Macaca fascicularis: one gene and its partner. The protein of the gene in region 1 binds, or shares a complex with, the protein of each later gene. Links are inferred from orthologs where the notes say so. Each region holds a gene or a part of one and is shown on either strand. Other genes may lie near its edges.

Evidence for each region.
Region 2: the proteins of COP1 (region 1) and TRIB1 are in contact, whole or in part, in a crystal structure (PDB 5IGQ), measured with the Homo sapiens proteins. The link is inferred for Macaca fascicularis from reciprocal best matches to the Homo sapiens genes COP1 and TRIB1. Residues at the interface, in NP_071902.2 of Homo sapiens: Ile423, Ser425, Val441, Lys472, Tyr491, Trp517, Asp534, Ala556, Asn557, Cys559, Ala576, Asp577, His578, Lys600, Ala601, Ser603, Thr618, Lys643, Asn644, Phe645, Phe699; in NP_079471.1 of Homo sapiens: Asp355, Gln356, Ile357, Val358, Pro359, Glu360, Tyr361.

Annotation. Positions count from the first base shown.
Region 1 is NC_088375.1:33,768,450-33,772,949, forward strand, and holds the start of COP1 (E3 ubiquitin-protein ligase COP1), read right to left. Parts: upstream 3,009-4,500; 5' UTR 2,738-3,008; coding exon 2,331-2,737; intron 1-2,330. UniProt on the Homo sapiens protein: E3 ubiquitin-protein ligase that mediates ubiquitination and subsequent proteasomal degradation of target proteins.
Region 2 is NC_088382.1:135,091,203-135,095,517, forward strand, and holds the start of TRIB1 (tribbles homolog 1), read left to right. Parts: upstream 1-1,412; 5' UTR 1,413-1,975; coding exon 1,976-2,335; exon of another isoform or gene 2,336-4,220; intron 4,221-4,315. UniProt on the Homo sapiens protein: Adapter protein involved in protein degradation by interacting with COP1 ubiquitin ligase. The COP1-binding motif is masked by autoinhibitory interactions with the protein kinase domain.

The DNA of each region.
Region 1 (4,500 bases):
CAGCTACTCGGGAGGCTGAGGCAGGAGAATGGCGTAAAAACCCGGGAGGCAGAGCTTGCAGTGAGCTGAGATCCAGCCACTGCGCTCCAGCCTGGGCGACACAGCGAGACTCCGTCTCAAAAAAATAAAATAAAATAAAATAAATTAAAAAAAAATAAAAAAAATAAAAGCATAGAATAATTTGAATTGGTTCACAGTTTGACCTTGGAGCATATAAGACAAGACCCAGAGCCAAACAGGAGGGGGGAAAAAAAAAAAAAGGATTCCTTGGGCCTTGCCTAATCCATATCATCCTACCCCAAGAGTCTGGCCAAAATCAAACCTGGCTTGAGTTTTAAATCAGACTCTCAATTAATTCTTCTGAATATTAAACCTCACCAGAAAAAGAAATAATTAACTAATGAGATTCTTAGAAAGTGGAATACTCAGGGCTGCGGTGGCTCACACCTGTAATCCCAGAATTTTGAGAGGCCAAGGCAAGCAGATCACATGAGGTCAGGAGTTCAAGACCAGCCTGGCCAACATGGTGAAACCCCGTCTCCACTAAAAATACAAAAAATTAGTCAGATGTGGTGGCAGCTGCCTGTAATGATCCAGCTACTACTCGGGAGGCTGAGGCTCCAGAATTGCCTGAACCCGGGAGGCAGGGGTGGTAGTGAGTCAAGATTGTCCCACTGCACTCCAGCCTGGGTGACAGAGTAAGACTCCGTCTCAAATACAAATTTCTACTCTTTAAAAAACTCAGGGTTCCCAATTCCCTATAGCATAGCCTACAGTGCACTGAAGTTCATACGGTGCCTGGCCAACAGTGAATGTCATACAAGTATTTCCTGAATGACAATGATCGATTCTTTATTTCTCACATCTTTTACTCAATTTTAGTGTACTTACATGGAAACTAACATGTTTGTGTTCGTTAAGTATACTAAAAATGAAAATGCAAACAGTGGCTAAAAAGACAACTAAATTCTGCACACCCCCCTTTGTTTCATTAGCTTATTAGCTACTCGCACTATCGACTGTGTAGACGTGCAAACACTTCTCAGCCCCAACCACAAACTGCTTGTTTATAAATAACAATCATACCTCAAATGTTCAATGAAAAACAGATTAATTCTGATCCAGAATAACGTACAAAAAAGCAGAAAGGTGAATAAAGACATCATTTTTCTGCAGGAACTAGAAACTGTAAGTCTAATCAATAACTTTCCTAACAGTTCCAACTTCTAGCTCTATCATATTTAACATCACCAACTCAGACCATCTTCAACTCTGATCTGAATCAACTTCCCTCATAACGACTGTGCAAGCAGCCAACTTCCTACATGCCTAATATTCGATCAACAATTTCCTCAAAAGGGAAAGTACAAAACACTACCAGTTCTTAACTAGCTAACAGCAATTACTTCTCATAATCCTACCAATATCTAAAACCCAATAAAAATTCCAAAACACTCTCAAGCAACACAATCAACTCCACCTTTCACTTAATACGACGACTAACCCCTCCATCCCAAATGTCCTGACTAAATGCTACTCTGTATCATCCAAGATGCCAACTATGATGACAAAATGTCTAAACCTAGCATTTCTCAAGTCAGAAGTTCCAGCATCCTCTGTTATCCAGTATAGTACAGTTACATCTGACACAGGGACGTTATTTAACAAATTTGGTTCTCTCTTTTCAAGACACTTGGTGGAAAAGTGAAAAATTTGTTAACAGACTTTGACTACAGTCGTCTTAACAGCAGATTCCTAAGTGGCCCATCCTTCGAAATGTCAGGAGAGACATATTTACACATGCATACGATGGGTACTTACATTATTATAAAAAGCATGTCTTTATAAGACTTCCATGCTTATGTTTACAGCATCATCTACCATACTTCAAATAAATTCTGACCAATTCCATCCCTCTGCATCCCAGGAAGCTTAGTCCTCTCCATTTGCAAATTTAATTCATCTCAACAAGTACTCCTGATTGACTGGGTGCTCAATTCATCAGAGAGCCAAAAATTTTAAGACTCAACCTCTTTGCCAACTTTGTTATCCAAAACCATTTATTTGACCTTCCACCCTCTTCCCTCTTTATTCCCTAAACTCCCTTCACTTCCTCCTCAGCAACACTTATCTACCTTTTTATTATCCCCACCCTGCCTGGCTACTCCAACATTCCTTCACTCCACCAACCTGCAAACGCTCGAATCCCTCTGCAGACACCACCACAGGACCAGTATCCCAGGCTCTCCAACAAGCCACCCCCCACCCCCGAGCCTAAGCGGCAGAAACTCATAATTTAGGGACAAGGAGGGCGTGCTCTTCAAACCCACCATACGAAGTCGTTGCTTTTGTCCTCGTAGGAGTTGATGAGCCCGTTGCAGAGAGGGGCGAGAAGAGGTCGCTTCCTGCTGCCGCTGCCTAGGCTGGAGCTGCTGCCTCCCACGCCGGCGCTGGGCCTGGCCACGCAGCTGTGCCGGGACAGGCCCGTGGACACCGCCCCGCCGCCGCTGCCCGACACGGCGGGTGCCACCAACACAGGCCGCACTGGGCCCCCGAGGCCGCCCGAGCCGGCGGGCTGGGCCGCCCCGCCGGACACCAGCGCTGCCGCCGAAGCCGCCACGGAAGGCGGCGACGGGGAAGAGGATAAAGACGAGGAGGCGGAAGTCACTGAGGAGGCCGCCGAAGAGCCGGGGCTAGTCCCAGCGGAGCCCGACCCGGCCTGGCGGCTACCAGACATCGTGACTCCCTCCCCTCCGGCCGGACGCTCGGAGGAGAGGGACCGCGACCTCGACCCTCCGCCGCCTCACCTCCTCTCCGCCTCAGTGCATCCTGCGGACGCCCGCTGAGCCGGGAGGTGGGGCTGAGGAACAATAAAGTTGCGTTTTTTTTTTAAGGCAACCACACAACAGCGTCCGACGGGAGGGGGCGGAGGAAACTAAAAAAGCGCAGTAGAAGACACTACCGCTGTCGAGGCCGCCGCCGCAGCTGTCGCGGCAGCAGCCAACCCCGACGCGCCGTGGCCGGCCGTGCGCGCGCGCAAGAGCGGCGGAAGAGGCGGGCGCGGCAGGGGATACAATTGGGGACGCAGCCGGGCTGCGCTCAAACACAAATGCCGCGCCCTCGGGGACTTGGGTTCCTGGCAAAGGGAGTCTCTCTGTCCCAAGCCGTTTTCGCTCCAGAAAACGTGCCAGAGAGCAGACCGTCCTAATGCAGTAAAAGAGTCGAGGAGAGTGGAATGATTGGTAGAGGTGGTGGGGTGGTTTGAAAGACGGGAATGTAGAGGGCGGAAACCCTCAAAATGCGACTGCGCACGCGCGCGCTGGGCGCGGACGCTCACACGTTCCCAGGGTATCCGCCCCAAGCGGAGAATATCGGCGCAAGCGCGGAGGCACCGTGTTACGCATGCGTGCGAAAGCACCATGGTCCGGAACGGGAAGAAGGAGCTGTCTCTTGCCTCCTGAGGGGTAGGCAGCTGCTTCCGAATCGCGGAGTGAAGGTTCTCGCAAGCTGGAGACTCACGGAAAGAACCTAGAAGCTCCGAGAAGTTGCAAACAGCACTGCATTGAACCAACGCCTCCTGCTCTACTGATGGTGATTCCACAGTTTTGTGAGGAATAAGTTAAGATGAAGTCAGTGAAATTTTCTGCAAATTGCAAACATTGTAGCAAGTGTTACCAATTTTATTAGTAGACCACGACTTCACTCCTGTATTTTGAAAAGCTGTTTGCCAAATTGAACATAATAATGGGAAAACAGATTTTGCCCAGTCAGACCCAGCTCAGTCAGAACCTAGGTTTATTGTGGATCTGATATAATTCTAGCACAAAACAAGGAAACCTAGCATTTAATACCACCAGAAAATACACAATTTCTGGTAGGCTTTTTTAGAATATTGAAAATTGATTGTAGGCGGGGGCGGTGGCTCGTGCCTGTCATGGGCAGCACTTTGGGAGGCCTAGGGGGTCGAATCACCTGAGCCTGGAGGCTGAACCTGAGGTTAGAGACCAGCTTGGGCAACACAGCGAAACCCCGTCTCTACAAAAAGTACAAATAATTAGCTGGGCATGGTGGCAGCAGGCCTGTAGTCCCAGCTACTCGGGAGGCCGACGTGGAAGGATTGCTTGAGCTGGGCAGGTTGAGGCTGTAGGGAGCGGAGATCGCACCACTGCACTCCAGCCTGTGAGACAGAGACCCTGTCTCAAAAAAATAGATGGATGGATGGATGGATAGATAGATAGATAGATAGATGGATGATAGATTTTCATTTGCTACATTCTAAGGGGTGGAAGTTAGAAACAACTGTGATTTTTATCCTTTTCAATTCTATCATTTTATGATTCTTATATATTTATTTGGGAGTAAAGTATTGTGAAAATACTCATGACTTAGTAAACTATTTGCGTATTCAAGGAGGTAAAGGCAGACAAAGATTTTTGATTTTTTTTTTTAAATGAGAATTACGTAATTGTTTTTAAATCATTATCCTTGGCTGCAAAAATC
Region 2 (4,315 bases), on another chromosome or scaffold:
AATGGAGAATTAATAAGGAAAATGATTTATTCTTGGGGCTCGACCTGGTTTTAGAAAATTATTTAGTAGAAGTGCAAGGACGGGCTCTCTGATAATAGTTATATTGTTGGGTGCCCAGGGACTCCAACCTGAACTGGTTCATTCAAGAAAGAAAAATGACAGATTCCAAGTTGTTTCACGCACAACTTTCACGCTCACCCAAATCACGCGGGCTGCCCGGGTGCAGGAGGTATCTCTGGCAGTGGCCAGAATGACTTCCACCGGCCTACCCACCTACCCGGGTTGGCACTCAGGCCCTAGACCCTGCGGGGCGTGTGGAGGCTGGGGAGGGAGCAGGAATCTGGCGGCAGCCACGTGGGCCCCTTCCGCCCGCTCCCCACATCCTTTGTTTCCCACCGGCCCTGGCTCAGGAAGCTCTTTCTGCGAGTCACTGCGAAGGGGCGGCCCGGGAGCCTGGAGAAGCTATTTCCGTGCAATCCGGGCGGGCGGCAGGCGCGGGGGGGTTGGGGGGGCGTGGAGGTGGAGGCAGCGCAGAAGGCCCAGTGTTTGCTTTTCTTTCATCCAACAGAAGGTTCTATTTGTGGAAGCGAACAGACGCTGGGGATTAGAGCTGGGAGGGGGCAGGAAAAGAGAGAGAAAAAAAAAGCCACATCCACTACCACGCACAGGTCTTCCCCGGAACTACCGCGTGGGGGTGAATGACTGATTCTGGAATTCATCACCTCCCCATCCCCCTCCTTCCTCCGGCTGCAGCCGGGGCTCGGCGGCGCCCACGGCTCCAACTGGAGCTCCCCAGGCGCTGGGCGGTGGGGGTATCCCCGGGGCGAAAGGCGTCGCCGCGGGGCTGCAGCGGGCGGCGGGTGCACAGAACCGTGGTGCGCGCTCCCGCCTCACGCCCGCAGCCCATTGTGCTTGCTGTGAATGAGGCGCGCGCACCAATCAGCGGTCGCTTCGCTCCCCGCGGCCCCGCCCCTCCCGCCCACTTCCCCGGACCCTTACGTCACGGGAACTTTTCCTCCGCCCCCTCCTTCGGCTTCTCGGCCGAGCTGGGGGCCTGCCGGAGGGCGCGCGCCACCTCCTGCCCAGCCCAGCCCGGGGGGCGTGTGCGCGCGCCCAGGCCGGCCCGGGACGCACCACCTGTGCCCGACAGCGCGCTGCCCCGAGCATCCCCAGCCCTCGGGCCACCCCCATTCCCCCCACCTCCTGTTCTCCCTCCCCTCCCCCAAGTCTCCTCCCTCCGCTCCTGAGACTGCTCGCCGGGCGGCGAGGCCGGAGTCGTCGCAGCCACCTCATTGCACAACCCGGCTTCCCAACTGTTTACACAGCCCGGCCTGTGAGTGTGTGTGTATACAGCGTGAGTCACCGGGAGGCGGAGGAGGTGGAGGAAAAGGAGAAGGAGGAGTGCACTGGCCGGGATCGGTGCGGCGCTCACACTCACTCACAGTCACTCTCTCTGAGCGCGTCTCGCTCGCTCTCCTACACGCCCGGAGCCCAGGAGCGCGCAGGATCCCGAGCGCCGCGAAAAAGTTCCCCCGGCTTTAGCTCGAGACTCATCGCTTTGGGAAGTGCATTTGCTTCGTGGCTCCGCCGAGCCTACTGAATCCTGTCCTCGCGGCTCGGGAAGCCGGGATCGCTGGCCGCTGCCGCCGCCGCCTCTGCCTCCCGGACTGTCGGCAGCCTAGGCAACAATAGTGGCGGCCGCCCCCAGCGAGGCTCCGGGAGCCCTTGCCTGCGGGGATCCGGGGACCCAAGCCGGCCTCCGCTCCCCGGACGCACAGCCAGCGTGGTCCCCGCGTGCAACGCGAGCGCCGGGGAGCGGCTCCTGCTTTGCCCCTAGTGGGGGCCGAGCCAAGAGCAGTCTGCAAACTCCATCCCGCCGGCTGGAAGAAGTCGCGGAGCCGGCGCCAAGCCCGCAGCGTCTTCCCGCGCGGATCCCGGGACTTAAAAAGCCGGGGCCGCCCCGGCCCAGGACGGGATGCGGGTCGGTCCCGTTCGCTCTGCCATGAGCGGCGCCTCGCAACCCCGCGGCCCGGCCCTGCTGTTCCCAGCCGCCCGAGGCGTCCCGGCCAAACGCCTGCTGGACGCCGACGACGCGGCGGCCGTGGCGGCCAAGTGCCCGCGCCTCTCCGAGTGCTCCAGCCCCCCGGACTACCTCAGCCCCCCCGGCTCGCCCTGCAGCCCGCAGCCCCCACCTGCCGCTCCGGGGACCGGCGGCGGCTCCGGGAGCGCGCCGGGGCCCAGCCGCATCGCCGACTACCTGCTGCTGCCCCTAGCCGAGCGCGAGCATGTGTCCCGGGCGCTGTGCATCCACACTGGCCGCGAGCTGCGCTGCAAGGTAGGCGCTCCCGGGCCAGGACCCGGCTGGGGTCGGGGGCGCAGGACGGGGTAGTAGGCAAAGGTGCTTGGGGTGCGGCCAACGCTTGGGCTGGGCACAGGGCAGATCAGTAGATGGGGTCAGATAAGACGCCATCTGACCAGGTTCACCTTTTTGTGGATTGAGGGGTTTCCCATGGAGTGGTATAATGGGGGCGCCTAGAGGAAGTGTAGTGTTCAGTGGCCTTCTCTTTCTGTTCCTTTCCTTAGCGCCCAGTGTAGCGCGTGGCGTTCCATATAAGTTGTGGAATTGAAATGGATTCCAGGGCCATGCCATTCCCCTTCTCTCATTCTCCTCGCTCTCCACCCCCCGCCCCCCCCCACCCCATGTCCTGGAAGGACGCCCTGCAGTGGGTGCCTCCTAGGAGATTGAAGCAGCTGGCATCTCTCTTGCCGGGTTTGCACGGCACCCGGGCTCAGTTGTAGGTGGTAAGAGCGCTGGAAGACTGTGTCCGGCTCCTGCCTTGGGGATTCCGAATTGAATTCGCGCTGGGACTAGAACACGTCCTCCCAAGGGAGCAGTCCCAGAGTCTTCCACCCGAGGCGGAGGAATCTGCTCGGAGTAGAAATGTTGAAAAGCCCACACCGGGCAGGAACCCTCGCTTCGATTCACTTTATTTTCCAGCCAGCGATTTTCCTTTGAACGTAGGGATCCCATCCAGGAGGAGGAGACACAGCTCCTAGAAACAGGATCCGCCGGGTCCTCCTCCTGCGCGGGTAGACGCAGAACATTCCCACAGTCTACTTTATGCGAGCATGACACCCCTGCTTGAGGCACCCCAGAGCACCCTCGGGCTGCTCCTTTTCACCCGAAAGATAGGATCAGCCCCCAGTTAAGTCGCTTCTGCGTTTTCCGCAACTCACCTGACACTCCCAACACCCCGACCCCGTCCCGGGGCTCGCTGCTGCCACCTACTGCCCAACCCGAATGAAATTTCAAACGCATGATCAAGCCCAGTTTAATAGGGGGAGATAAAACCCTTTTCTTCTCCGTGGCTGGGGCTCAGAGCTGTTCTGGGACAAGCATATGTGTGTGGTGGGATGGGGTGGGTGGGAGGAGGGGGCAGCAGGGGATTGCCAGAGCAGCCAGGCCTCTTAGAGGTGGGGTGAGTCTGGCCATTGTGCAACCCCTTCCAGTTCCTCTGAGCAGATAATAGCTGAATCCAGATGGTGACAGCCCGTGTGTCACCGTTTCCAGTTGAGTCTAGGATATGAGTAACTGGACTAAACAAAAGGCCTCTAAAGAGATCAGCCAGCTTCCTAGAAGAGAGGAGATGCTACTCATTTTTAGGGGTGGGGTCGGGTGTGGGGGGTAAACAAACAAATGAAAAACCGATTCGCAGGATCCCCTACCCCTCCTGTGAGAATTGTAACTCAAGGCGGCTTACTTACACTTGAGTCGGACTGTAGGCAGGTTGCTTAAAGCTGCATTGTCCCAGCCTCCCCCTCCAAGTCATCTGTTCCTTCTGATTATTGACAGCTCTGCATGTTCTCTGGCCCCTGCTTCCCCTTGGAGGCTGCAGAGTCACCACATTCTGTGCCCTTTCTGTGCTGAGCACTTTGGGTCTGCAGGAGACACATGCATGTCCAGGGACTGCTTTTCAGCTCCTGGACAGGCCAGGGGCTTCCTTCTATCAACCACTCACTAGTGTGGCCTGCAAACAGGAAAGGGCCACAGATGTTGGGGGGTTTGCTTAACTCTCAGGAGCTGATGGAAGATGGGAACATGTAAAGGAGACAGTTCTTTCAAATGATCTGTGTGAAAGCGGGTAACCCTTTGGGTATTTGCAAGTCTAGAGCTCCAGGTGTTACTGGTTTTAAAGGTGTCGGGGGCAGCTGGGGCCGAGGTAAGGTGGCAGAGGAAACGGAGTAGGTGAATGGAACTTACATTCTAAGCCCAAACGTTGAGAACTTCTGCTCAGCTCCCTCAGGGGTTTGGGAG